2 linked regions of the Drosophila melanogaster genome follow. The protein of the gene in region 2 interacts with the protein of the main gene of each other region in a pairwise test. Each region holds a gene or a part of one and is shown on either strand. Other genes may lie near its edges.

The links. The genes of interacting proteins can lie anywhere in the genome.
Region 1: the proteins of CG16815 (region 2) and Pif1A come close enough for resonance energy transfer, tested with the Drosophila melanogaster proteins (one large-scale study listed by BioGRID).

The regions. Positions count from the first base shown.
Region 1 is NT_033777.3:8,796,738-8,803,879, reverse strand, and holds the start of Pif1A (PFTAIRE-interacting factor 1A), read left to right. Parts: upstream 1-2,703; 5' UTR 2,704-3,005; intron 3,006-3,100; 5' UTR 3,101-3,186; intron 3,187-3,935; exon of another isoform or gene 3,936-4,418; intron 4,419-5,833; 5' UTR 5,834-5,978; coding exon 5,979-6,556; intron 6,557-6,913; exon of another isoform or gene 6,914-6,943; coding exon 6,944-7,142. Other genes in the region: CG9839 (uncharacterized protein), read left to right, coding at 1-315; CCT7 (chaperonin containing TCP1 subunit 7), read right to left, coding at 478-801, 875-1,694, 1,761-2,021, 2,200-2,202.
Region 2 is NT_033779.5:13,226,449-13,231,921, forward strand, and holds CG16815 (uncharacterized protein), read left to right. Parts: upstream 1-3,383; 5' UTR 3,384-3,457; coding exon 3,458-4,036; 3' UTR 4,037-4,101; downstream 4,102-5,473. Other genes in the region: CG16813 (uncharacterized protein), read left to right, coding at 1,405-1,959.

The DNA.
Region 1 (7,142 bases), on a different chromosome or scaffold from region 2:
CTTCTAAGAGAAGAAGTGACGAACGAACCGGTAACTAGTATCCAGAAGCCAGAGACATATGAACGGTCAAAGAACAAGCCGGTGCCCGAGCCCAGGTTGAAGACCATTCTACACGAACCCATGCTTATCCAGCAGAACGGGAAGCCGGCCAAGAAAAACTGCCGCTATTGCCACAAAGGCGGAATGCTGCAGTTCAGCAGGTACATGTGCAACACCTGTCCCGATAAGCCGGGTCTATGCCAGGAACCCTGCTTCCTTCTCTGGCATGAGCAGCTCAAAAAAGTAATCAGACAGACAATTGGACGAAGTGAATAAAAATGGATTATCATTCGTTAAGAGGAACAAATGTTTTTTGTTTAAAGTTTCACACACAAGTTCTTTAAAATAAAAACTTATCCTTCCCCCTTTCAAATATAAATTTCAAATTCACTCATCGTTAAGGTGGCTTTGTATGGACAAATACCATTGGACACTCACCCTGGGCGTGCTTCTGGCGCAACTTGTTGAGAATGTTGGTGGCATCGAAACCGGCGTTGTCGCACAGCTGGCGAGGAATGATCTCCAGGCCCTTGGCGATGGCAGCAATCAGCAGCTGCTCCTTACCGGCAATGGTGCGCGAATAGTCCCGCAGCAGCTTGGACAACTCCATTTCAATGGCACCGCCGCCGGCCACAACGGAATCGTGCTTGATGGTGCGCCGCACGATCATAATTGCGTCGTGGAGGGATCGCTCAGTCTCCTCCAGAAACTGTTCGGCACCGCCACGCAGAATAAGGGTGCTCGTCTTGGCATTGGGGCAGCCTATTTAAAATGGAAAATAACAAGTGGTTGTTAAAACGAGTCCTTCAATTAAGTATACGAATAAGATTCTTACCTTGGAAGAGGTTGAAACGTTCGCCGCCCACTTGGCGCTCCTCGAAATGTTCGCACAGGCCGAGTACATTGGGCTTAATGTCGTTGGCCGTCGTCATTACGGCTCCACCGCAAGCCTTCATGGTGCGCTTAAGATCTTCTTCGGGAACGCGGCCGGCGCAGAATATGTCGCGGTCGGCGAAATACTGTGTGGCCACATCACCGATGGGCAGCTTGGAGAGGACAACATTGGCGCCGGACTCGTGGATCTTAGCCAGCTTGTTGTAGAGGATCTGCCACTCGGCGTCGACCACCTTTTGGTACTCCTTGACGTTGTCTACGCGGATCTCGGCGTTATCGCGCTCAGCCTTAAGCTCCAATTCGATGTTGAGCAGGGCAATTTTGCAGTTGTCATAGGATTTGGGGGCCATTTCAAAGCCGGCATAGGAAAAGGTCTTCTTGAAGGCCACACCCGACACTAGCTGTGACTCCTCCAGCGAGCCACCGGTCACCTTCTTAATTCCAATCATGTTGAGGGGCAGCAGCTCATCCAGGGAGAGCACAGCATCGACTACAATGCGGGAGAAGAAGTCCTTCTGCTGGTGAATCAACTTGGAGGACATGGCAGTGGCTGCGCACTTCTCAAGGAGAGCACGCTGCTGGTCCTTGGACTGTTCGACAATTTGGACGGCCATTTCGTTGATCTTTTCCATGCAGAGCTGCAGGGCCTTGCGGATGGCCTTAATGATGACTCGTGGGTGCACTCCCTCCTCCACGAAGGGTTTCACCTGCTTAAGGAACTCGCCGGCCAGCAGAACCACGGACGTGGTGCCGTCACCCACCTGAAGGAGAAGTCGAATCAAAGCTTTAGCAGTGTCACGTGCGTCTCAGGGGTGCCAATCACTTACCTCGGCGTCTTGTGACTTGGCAATGTCCACCAGGGTCTTGGCCGCCGGGTGGATGATCTCCAGCAGCTTCATGATGGTGGCTCCATCGTTGGAAATCGTCGCCTTGCCGTGGGCATCCACAATCAGCTTGTCCATGCCGCGGGGACCCAGAGTGGTCCGCACTGCGTCCACGATCGACTGGCAGGCATTGATGTTGGACACCAGTTGCGGCTTGCCCTGCGACGAGTCAGTGCCTTCTTTGAGGAGCACGATTTGCGGTTGCTGCGGATCATACGGATATAAGGCGAATATATAGTAAAAGTCTCCAATTAGTCAGCAGATGTCGTCGGCTTGCGAGAAGCTTCTTTGCAGGTTATGTTTACAATCTCATGCCGCTCGCGGACGAGTCCATGATTGGGATTCACTTGGTTAGCCTCGGATTATTTCCAGCCGGACTTACCATATTTATGTGATGGGGTTGGCCTTTAGCACGTATTACAGTTTAAAACAATAAAGTTCCTAGCAGACAGGCGGCAACTTGCTTTTCGTTCACGTTTTCCGCGATGAGTAATGGGCCAATCGATTAATCGTTGTTATTTTGTATTTAATCGATGCTTGCAGCCAGTGTGAACGTTTGGGGACTTAGTCGCACTTTACAATGAAATTTGAAATCCTAACTCATAAAAAACTATCTATTTATTTCTATCTTGCGATTTTTTAACTTTATGGTACAAAGCTAGTTTCCACACTTTTTGATGAACATTTTAAACTAATATGATATGCAGCTGGTAGTTGTTATCGAAAAAGTTATCGATGGCTCCATGACGTCACTCTTGACCGGCGAGCGGTTTTTTGAAATTGCTCCCAACTTCAAATATAGATTTGTGATTCCTTCTATTTATATAAATTTGGCGATGCACGCACGCATGTCGCTTATTCCATTTTAGAAAGTGCGCCGCATCTTCAGTTTGTTCCTACCGCTCAACTTGAGTGAGTTGTGCACCGAGCAGCAATTAAATGAAAAATAGAAGAGTCATTTGAAAGGCCAAAACGCCAGAACATTCAACCGCAAATAGGTTTAAATGAAAGAAAGCATTCTAAATCTAATTCGGTCATGTGGAATTGGAATTTTAGTTGCCCAAGACTCCTCTTAACGACGACATCGAACCACAAGGGATGCCAATGGATACTAACCGGATACTAGACAATTGCCGAGTGATTATGAAACAAATCAGGATGCTGAACCGACTATGAAAAATGCAAATAGTGAGTAAGAAAAAGAAAAGTGAAGTGGGGCTCCCACACGATAAGGCACTCAAATCAAAGTGCAAAGTTTGTTCCCCTTTTGTGCTTTTATTTAGATTTCCCCTGTGTTGACTGACTGGAATCGGAATGTGTTCTAATTGTGTCCATCATTCATCGCGTCGTTAAGGCGATTGTCAAATTTGTATGTGATTTGTGAAGATTCTTCAGCTGTTGGGGATTATAGACATAAAGATATTCATACGCAATACGTTTGGCATTTAAATCGAAATTAAAAGTATGAAATTTTAATTGCCATAAAAAGACTATAAAAAAGTTGAGCAACTTAAATGTTTTGCAAGTATGTTTATTACCAAATTTATTTACTTCTGGTCTAAACATATAATAATAGATGCACGTTTCAACAGCTTTAATGTCACGTCTTCAGATTGCTCTTAAACTTAAACTAGCACAAATGCTTTGTGCTGATATATGTTTGAGCAACGCGCCTTAATCATGCGGAAGTACTTATAACAATGTTTACACAGATATAACAATTTAACTGAATTTTATCATTACTTTATCAAACTTATACCGAATTAATATCCAATCAACCTGAAGTTCCGATATCTTTTATTTCACTGTTTGTTATTTTGACCAATTTCGTGGCGGGTTGTGTGCATATTTTGGTTATTAATAAACACGCGACTGGTTTTTTTTTGTTATGAAGTCGGGAACCGGGAGGAAAACATCTTCGGCTTTCAATAGATGGGCTCTTCCGGCTTCACGTCGGCCATTCTTCGGGGCACGCACACAGACCCGAGCTTTGCCACCCCATAACCCCAAGAAGTGCATGAATAAATGGCAAAGCTCCTTTTAATTAAATGGAAATGGAGGCAAATGTGAAAGAGCTTGCGAAAGCTCGAGAGGCCGAGTTAGTCAATCGGTGTCCGGCCGAAACGAAAGATCTCTGCTATCGCCGAGCAACGAAATTTACCTAGTATAGAACACTTCTTTTAATTTACAATTCAAATTGATTGCAACTAATTAGGATACTCCCCAAACGAACCGAACATAACTCACTTCTATTCCGACGAACTTGTGTAACTTAATTGATATAATTTCGAACTTCCTGTACGAACTGTGTGAATATATTTGAACAAAAATATATCATACTTTGCTTAACAATTGTCGAAGAAGTGCTCCACATACCGACGATATTCTACTTGGTCTGTGCGCGAAAAAAGTTGATTGAAAATTAACGTATTGACGTCATTACACTGCAAGAAACAGTGGCAAGCAGGCAGTAAATAAACTGTTTACATTACAACATCGTCGGTCGACTTAGTGAGTGAGTGAGTGAGTGAATAAACATATACAGAAGTTTGAGGCACACCAACTGTTGGTCTACGACGCCCAAGGATTTCAGAGCTAATGGTGCGTATACGTGATCTTCGGTGAATCAGCCGAAAGAGCCGCAGACTGTACACTCGACGGCTGACCGACTCATCGTTTGGCAATATTTTCAAATTGATATATGACTGAAAATATACATACTTAAAGAGCAAAAAAGAGACTTTCATCTGCCCATGTGGATGGCTGTGGATGTGGATGGCAATCGAGTGGGTGGCTTTGCTCGTATAAAACCAATCCCAACCAAGCCGGTCACACCGAGGCTGTGATGTCACCATGGCGTGTATGTCGACCCCAAAAACACTTTATTATCGAGTGGACTGGGGGCGGTTTTAAATTTAATTAAATGAAATGCAACATGAGAGCCATCATTAGCCCCAGTCCTTCAGTTTATAGAAAAGCCACAAAATAAATATTACATACATTTGGAACGAACACCTCTTTTAGGGTAGTTTTTCCACTAACAGTTCGGTTTTGAAATACGTCCAAGAGTCAATATCATAAAGTTTACTAATAATTACTTATAATTTATGTTGATAACCAGAAAGTAATAAACTTGGGCACCACTCACTTAAGATCCCTCCCTATTAACACCTAGTGTATCGAGCTGGAAAAACAAATCAAATTCCAATTAGGCGCCAGAAGGTTGCTAAGTACACAAATCTGTCGCTCTACATGTGTATATAGATCGTGGCCTTGATAAAGATGATCGGCCAGAAATCTCGGAGAGCATTCTATGAACATATGAACTGTGGGCCTACTCGTGTGTGCACCTCATACAGTATATATATAGATGCTTTGTTATAATCTTTGGGGCGGATGTGGGAGCAGTGCAAAGAATTCTGTTTCTGTAGAACAAAAAAAGTAATGAAAAGCGGTTTTATTGCGTGTAAAGCGCCCCAGTGGGGAACCTCACAAAACAAAAAAAACACATGTACATATGAATGTACGTACATATTCTGTTCTATTCCAAAAGGCGCGCCACATGACGTCATTAAGAAAAGTCATTCCGGACCAGTTTATTTGGTAAGCCCAACGCAATTGGCGTTGTAAACTATTTCCCAGTCCCAGGGTGCCTATATGTTTCGTTTTTCATTCATATGTGTGGCCCGACCCGATGTGGCGAAATGAAGGAAAAAGCTTTTCCGCTGAAATCAATAATGGGGGAAACTTGTTGATTAGTTCAACCCAGTGAAGAAAAGCGTTGAAGAGTCTACGGCTAAACAGAAGCCATTGAAATGCTGACAGACAAAGGGGAATCTTTGCGATTCTGAAGAAACAACCTCCATGCGGGCAAAGACTCGGAATTCTGTATACTGTGTAATTTTTCAAGGCATAATTTGTAATAAGTAGATAAGAGTAGGGCTTTTATTGTATATGCTTAAAGCATTATTAAAGCCACATTATTGTATACTTTATTTTGAATATATCGCTTACAGATTGAGGAGAATCCAACGATGACCAGGTGAAGTATAGCAGGGACTTTCGGCAGGATCGGGGTGCACCGGCATATGCAGTACTTGAAAAAGCAGAAACCCAAAAAAAAACGACGGCAACATTTTTATATACTAAAGTTACATAAAAATGGCTGAAAACCAAACCAAAACGACCTCTAGCAAGGGATGTAATACAATGAGCAGGACCGCCCATATCCTGGCGCCCCACAATGGGACTGTGGTCCGCCGGACGGATCCTGGCTCCAAACTCAAAGAGAGCTTCCACACGGAGAAGCACGATATCGAAGACTGGCAAACGATGGCCAAGAACAAGTTGAAGCGCAAGAAGAAACTGAGCAGCTCCCTGACTTCCGTTGGGGATACGGTGAATCAGGAGAAGCGCACTCGCATCGAGGGCATCCAGCTGCATTGTCGCGGCAAATTGCGACCCAAGGAGACCCAATCCTTTGAGGCCGAGAAGGGCCCATCTGCCGGCTCCCAGAAGCAACTGGGAAAGGCAGAAAAAGATCGAGAACGACCCGTAATAATTGGTGGCGTGACTACCACAAATGTGATAGCAGCACCTCCACAAAGGATCAAGAGAAAACTGCAGGAGAACATGGACACCATCCAGAAGCTAAATGCCCTCACGGAGCAACTGCGTCTGGAGGTAAATGAACTGAAGTCCAGTCTGATCACAGAACGCGGTGCAGTGAGAGCCTTAAGGTAAGTCCATTAATATACATATATACCAATAAGGAACGTGATAAGCCCATTTCATTTTACCTTAATCGCACCATTTTATATTGCATAATGTTGTGAAACTTTTTAAATTGAGTTATCAAATACAAATACATTCGTTTTAAAAGTATTCGTGCACTGAAAACATATTTGACCTTTCATGAAAGTGACGATTGGCAATCAGTAAACTCGGAAATAAATATACATGCAATCAGTTTGTTCAAGATTACATTTAAATATTTCTGGTTTCATCTAGATATAAAATATGATAGAATAGTCACACGTTTGATATTAAAACCCATTTCGATCTGATCTTTTGAATTTAAAGAGACATTAAAAAATGCAATCTATCGCTTTTTTATTTCAACCCAGGGCTCAGAATGACGCAGATAGTCGTCGGTGGAAGAGTGAAGTGAAGAAGTTGCAGCATACGCTGGAAATGGCCAAGAAGAGCAACGGTATAAAGAAGGCCATCGAATCGGGCCCAGAATCGAGTGGTGCACATGTGACCGCCGATGGCCTCATCAACTATGAAATCCAAAGACTGACTAACGAGATTGCCGTGCTGAAG
Region 2 (5,473 bases):
TTCTAAACCATTCAAAGTGAATAATCCTTGGTATATTTATACAAGGTTATCCTGGACGCAAGTTGATACAATCGTTGCTATCATACAAAGTTATATATTCTCGATTCTGGATCATAATATTTTAAATAGACATTTTTACCTATTTATTTTCATCTACATAATTCCTTCTTGTTTCTCAGAAAAAAGCAAACTTTTCAAGGCTAAAATTTCCCATCGCTGAAAAGATCTACTCCTTAGAAAAATATATGGGAATCTATTTTCCCATCCACCATCCTGTTAATACAACATTATATAAGACAACCTTTAATTGTATCATTGGTGAAAGCACTTCCTGGTAGGATATTATTGCTCTTTTTAAGGTCATTCCCCTTGAAGGAATGAACAACACCTACCCTGGAGGACCCAATGCAATCGATTCTCTGCGTTCCAGAACAGATGAAAATTGATCAATATAATAAAAGGAAAACAATCAAACAATACGACAATCTTTCACTGTAATACTTCAACTGAACAAATAACCAACTCCCACTCCGCTCCTGCTTATTGACTTTGGGATTCCTCGAGGAGGGCTCGTCTCAAGCCCACCTGAAATAAATCCGCTTAGGCGGAGGAACACTGAAATGTGAGAACCATCTACCACATATACATTCGTTCCCTGACGGCATAAATCAATGGACAATGGACCATTGAATGAAACGGAAAAATCCGACATAATGCCAAAGACACGAAACCAGGGAGCAGAGGGAGGAGCATTCAGTAATTGCCGGTTTTCTAGGTTTGCTAGTATGTACATGTACCGGGAGATTCAGAAACTCCGAGACGGTTTTTCTTCAGCTGTCCAAGCTGAAAGTCATAAACGCTTGTTGTTCGAATCGAGATCGGGCATTGAAAACTGCAGCATGTCTGCTATTCAGGTGCCACAAAGAAAGCCGAAACAATAGCGGGTCGGCCGGCAGACAGCCTGGACGAATTGAGCGCCAGGATTAGAGATTACACAGGGATCCTCTACACAGAGATCCCTTTTTCGGGCCCGACAACAGGTAATTTCGTCGAAAATCGTCGGCCACGTAAACAGACGAGGCAAGGACAACAACTGGTTTATGACACCCTTTGAGAAGATTGCCAGCCTGCGGATTAGGAACTCCCTATTCCCAATTCAGGTAACAGCAGCCGATTAGTTTTGGTCCCATTTTTAGGGAATGAATGAAATGCGTTGGGGAAATACCTGATCCGTTTTACCGTGATCCCCAGGTACGTGATGGGAAAATCTTTGCCATTTGGCCATTCCGTTTTCGTGGGAGGCTCTGCAAGTTACCTAATGTTGCATAAAACGGATGGCCAGGAGGAGGGGCAGCACAGTCGTCTCGAAGACAGCAAAGCGAACACCACTACTCTTAATCAAGAATGGATAACTATAACCACAAGAAATTCACTGGAGCTCTGAAGCGAAAGCGCAGCATGGATGCGGACTCTGATGACGATGTGGTCTTCATTATGGAACAGCCGGGCCAACGCACTCCAGAGCAGCCGCAGCCTAAGCGTCGCTTCTTCCGACCCTGGATGGATGAGTCTCCGGAAGAGGAGCAACCACAGCCGCCACGTAAGATTGTGGCTACATCGACACCGCCGCCACAACAAGTGGATGGCACCTACCACGCTAACATGGTGCGCAATCACCACAAGCGCCGCCAGCGCAGTCCACAGGAGCAACTGCGTCGGGATCGCAACACCTTGGCCAGCCTGCGCCATCGACGCTCCCAGCAGCAACAGCAGCAGCTCATCGAACAACAATACCTGACCAGTCGCATTCAGCACGAGGCCAATCTGCAGCAGCAGATCCGCCTGAGTCTCTACTATGTGCGCTTCCTGCAGCAGGCGATGGCCTCCACGGAGCCACTGCCTCCCACACAGCCAAGGCACATGATGCCGCGCCAACAGACCACCACCCAGCATCCTTGAAGGGTGGACATGGTGCAACGACTGGGCGCTGCTCAATGCGCCCTAACTTATTGTAGAAAAGCTGAATAGTGATTGTGATTACTTTTAAAGTTTAATTTATTTATCTGGTTGACTAAACAATAAACACACTAATTGTTATCGAAATAACTTGTAATTTTTATAGAATTTTGTAATAATTGGTTTTTAGTTGGTTTCTGATTGATTGAAATCTAACTCGGGGTCTTATTTATTGAATCTTATTTGGAAGTCTGATATTTCTTTTCCGCCGTTTAACATCATGAGGATTTGTTCTAGACCAAAACTGACCGGAAGCATCAGCTCATAAGAGTTACCTCACTTGGTTTTTCTGCCATTATATAACATTAAATACATCTTATGTAATTAATTTCTTGGAAGCGCAATTTGCAATGCTAATTAAGGTGTGAAGTAATTCTAGTGATTCACATAGCCAGACTACAGTGAGAATTGAATCGATTCGGCACGAGTGACATATTGTGGGAAACACGGAATAAAATTGTAATTTATTTCAGTTGGATTTAATTATTTAATTTATAAACAAATCAGCATAGCGAACGAACAAAGTGCTTGCAAAATAATTAAAACACGGTGACAATAAGATCCGCCTTTATATTTAAATAATCATCAATGAAATCATCATATTGTTGTCCGCGATTAAAAATTGCGCAGATAAATAAATCTTAATATACTAAATTATTTACACGAATAGTGTTTTACTAATTCATTTATATATATGATATATGCCGTATACATGTTTGTACGAAGTTTATTTAACTCTTTAAATATTTTTAAAGGCGTGTTTTACTACCTAAACTAATAAATGGATTAAATATATTTAATTCACCTCTCAAGACTTCCATGAATGCAATTCCTTCTCCGTAAACTGAAATCGCATCTGTCAGCAGTCTTTAAAAATCCTTGACACTTTTTTCTAACCACCGACCAGGACATATAATGCCATGTCATTCTAGAGGAAAAGTGTTCGGCAAAGGACCCTCGAGAATTTCCAGGGAATTAAAACAAAGTGTGCTGAGGAACCAGGAGCCAAAGGGACCACACACGGTGCCACAACAAATTGTGTCATGCAGGTCAATAAAAAAATGCATCGCCTGCATAACAGTTGTTCGGTCCAGAACTTTCCTGTTCCGGTGGCCACATTTGTCCGATAATCCAGGTAATCCACACACCAAAAAAAGGATAATGAGGCAATCCTGCGACGACAATTAGCGCTGTGATAGAGCAGGTCATAAAATATGCTGCTTAATCCAGGACGGAGATTACCTAATGCGGAATGGATGCGCTAATCCCTTTGTTGACAGACCCAAAACAAAGGGATTTCCCTATGTGGCTACCTGTACCGCCTACCTACTGTGCTTATAACCAGGATATCAATCTCGAAGCCAATCATTCAGCAAGCGATCGTCCAACGAGTCACATCATCACCACAACTCATTCGGAGTCATATTATCGAAATACAAAAATGGAGAACTCATCGAGCTACACCCACAAGAAGTTTGCCGTCAGCAAGCGGAAACGGGAAGTGGACCATGACAAGGAGAACCAAACTCAGCAGTCGGAACAGCCGATCTTCAAGCGCCGTCAGACACAGGGATTCTTCCGACCTTGGTTGGATAATGAGCAGAACCAACAGGCGGAGAAGGAGACGTCAACGGCGGCGAAACCCAGTGGCCCAGGATCCTCGGTCAGCCAGTACCGTGCCAACATGGTGCGCCGCAGTAACACCAATCGTCAGCGAAGCCCCAAGGAGCAGATGCGCCGCGATAGAAACACGCTGGCTTGCCTACTCAGCCGGCGGGCCAAGCAGGCACAGGAGGAGCAAGTGGGTCAGCAGTACGAGCAGTATCGGAGTCATCATGCCGCCATGCTGGAACAGCAGGTGCGCCTCAGTCTATACTACCGCCACATCCTCCAACAGGCGGTGTTCCAGCGTGCCATAAATCCGGCACCGGGTCACATCCTGCCGCAGCAGCAACAACAGTTCCTCCAGCAGATGGCCCTCTCCCAGCAGATGCTCATCTTTGGTGGCCAGCACTGCTGACCGTCCAAAATCATATCATAATCAGCGACTATGGATAGCCCAATCATGTGATTTAGTTTATTAAGCCTTAATTATTAATATTTATTGTTGACTTTGAAATAAATCAAAAGTTATGCATTTAATTTAAATTGCCGGTTTTGTTAACTGGGGGTTATCACTTGGAAAATTCGAAATTTAATCTAAAATGATTGTTAAATTTGTTAGGAGGTCAGTGGATCGCAACCATTACATTTTTTTACATATGTATAATAATGCTATATATATTAGGATTTTAAACATCTTTAAGTTAACCCACCGGCTTGAAAAATAGTAAAATTATATAAAATGATTAAGAGATCAATTATCATTTCTAATTTAATTACAACCTAATCGTGATCATAATATATAAAATTTATGGTATAATTTTTAGCTCAATAAAACTAAAAGTACTGCTATCAAAAGTAGATTATCTATTATTTGATATGACTTTTGGTAAAAAAGGGCTCAATCAAGGGCTCAAAAACCACTTACTCCAGTGACTTGTCTGACCACTGGAGTAAGTGAGTCATCGAAGCATTGACAGATTTTTCCGAGAAACCATTTACCCAGAGTGCCATTACCCAGCAAAGTTCAACTAATTGTTGTCTAGCTAATTTTCATGGCGTTCTCATTTCGTGGCGGCTTTCGTCAAGGTTCAAACCCGCCACAAAGAACCACATTTTGGACTGGGCCAAGCTTTTTGGCATCGCCTTCAACGCGGTGGATTGTTGGCTAATGATATTGACAGAGATCGGATGTGGCGATATGGAGATATAGACAAAGTCCAAGCAAAGCTTCAAGTTCAATTGGCCAGTGAGACGGAGTTTTGCAAGCACACACAGCTCGAAGCGCAGAAATGCAATTTTCAATGTTAGGCCAGTTGGAAAAAAAGAAGAAAAAAGCCAAAAACAAAAAAACCAAATGCAGCCACAAAAAAAAAAACTCAACAATTAACTGAAATTGATGTTTGGCTGCATGGTACAAGTGCAAAGTGGTTTACTGGGTTGTTGGAGTTGCGACGGAAATTTGCGCCATAGGAAGTCGGACTGCCACAAGTACTATCAATGAAAATTAAAAGTAATTAACTGCTCGCGCACAGCGATTGCGCAATCGCCAAAAGAGTTAATTATGTTATGTGCAGGGGGCTTCCCCGGCAGCATGAATACTTCGACTAAATCATAGCTCCTATTTTTCACTCACAGCCCGATGCAGTTGGCTGCATATGAGGCGGGTGCACTCAGTGACGAACATCAGCCTATGTTTTTTCCATCGGATCACCCGAACTTCCTCATAGACCGTTGATTTTCTACATGGTTAGGCATTATGCAAGTTAGCTGGAGTGAAAGCAAAGTTAGGATTGCAATTGGCTTTTCTCTTGGTATGCATCGAAACCCTTTCTTTGTGACCTCATTCTATGAA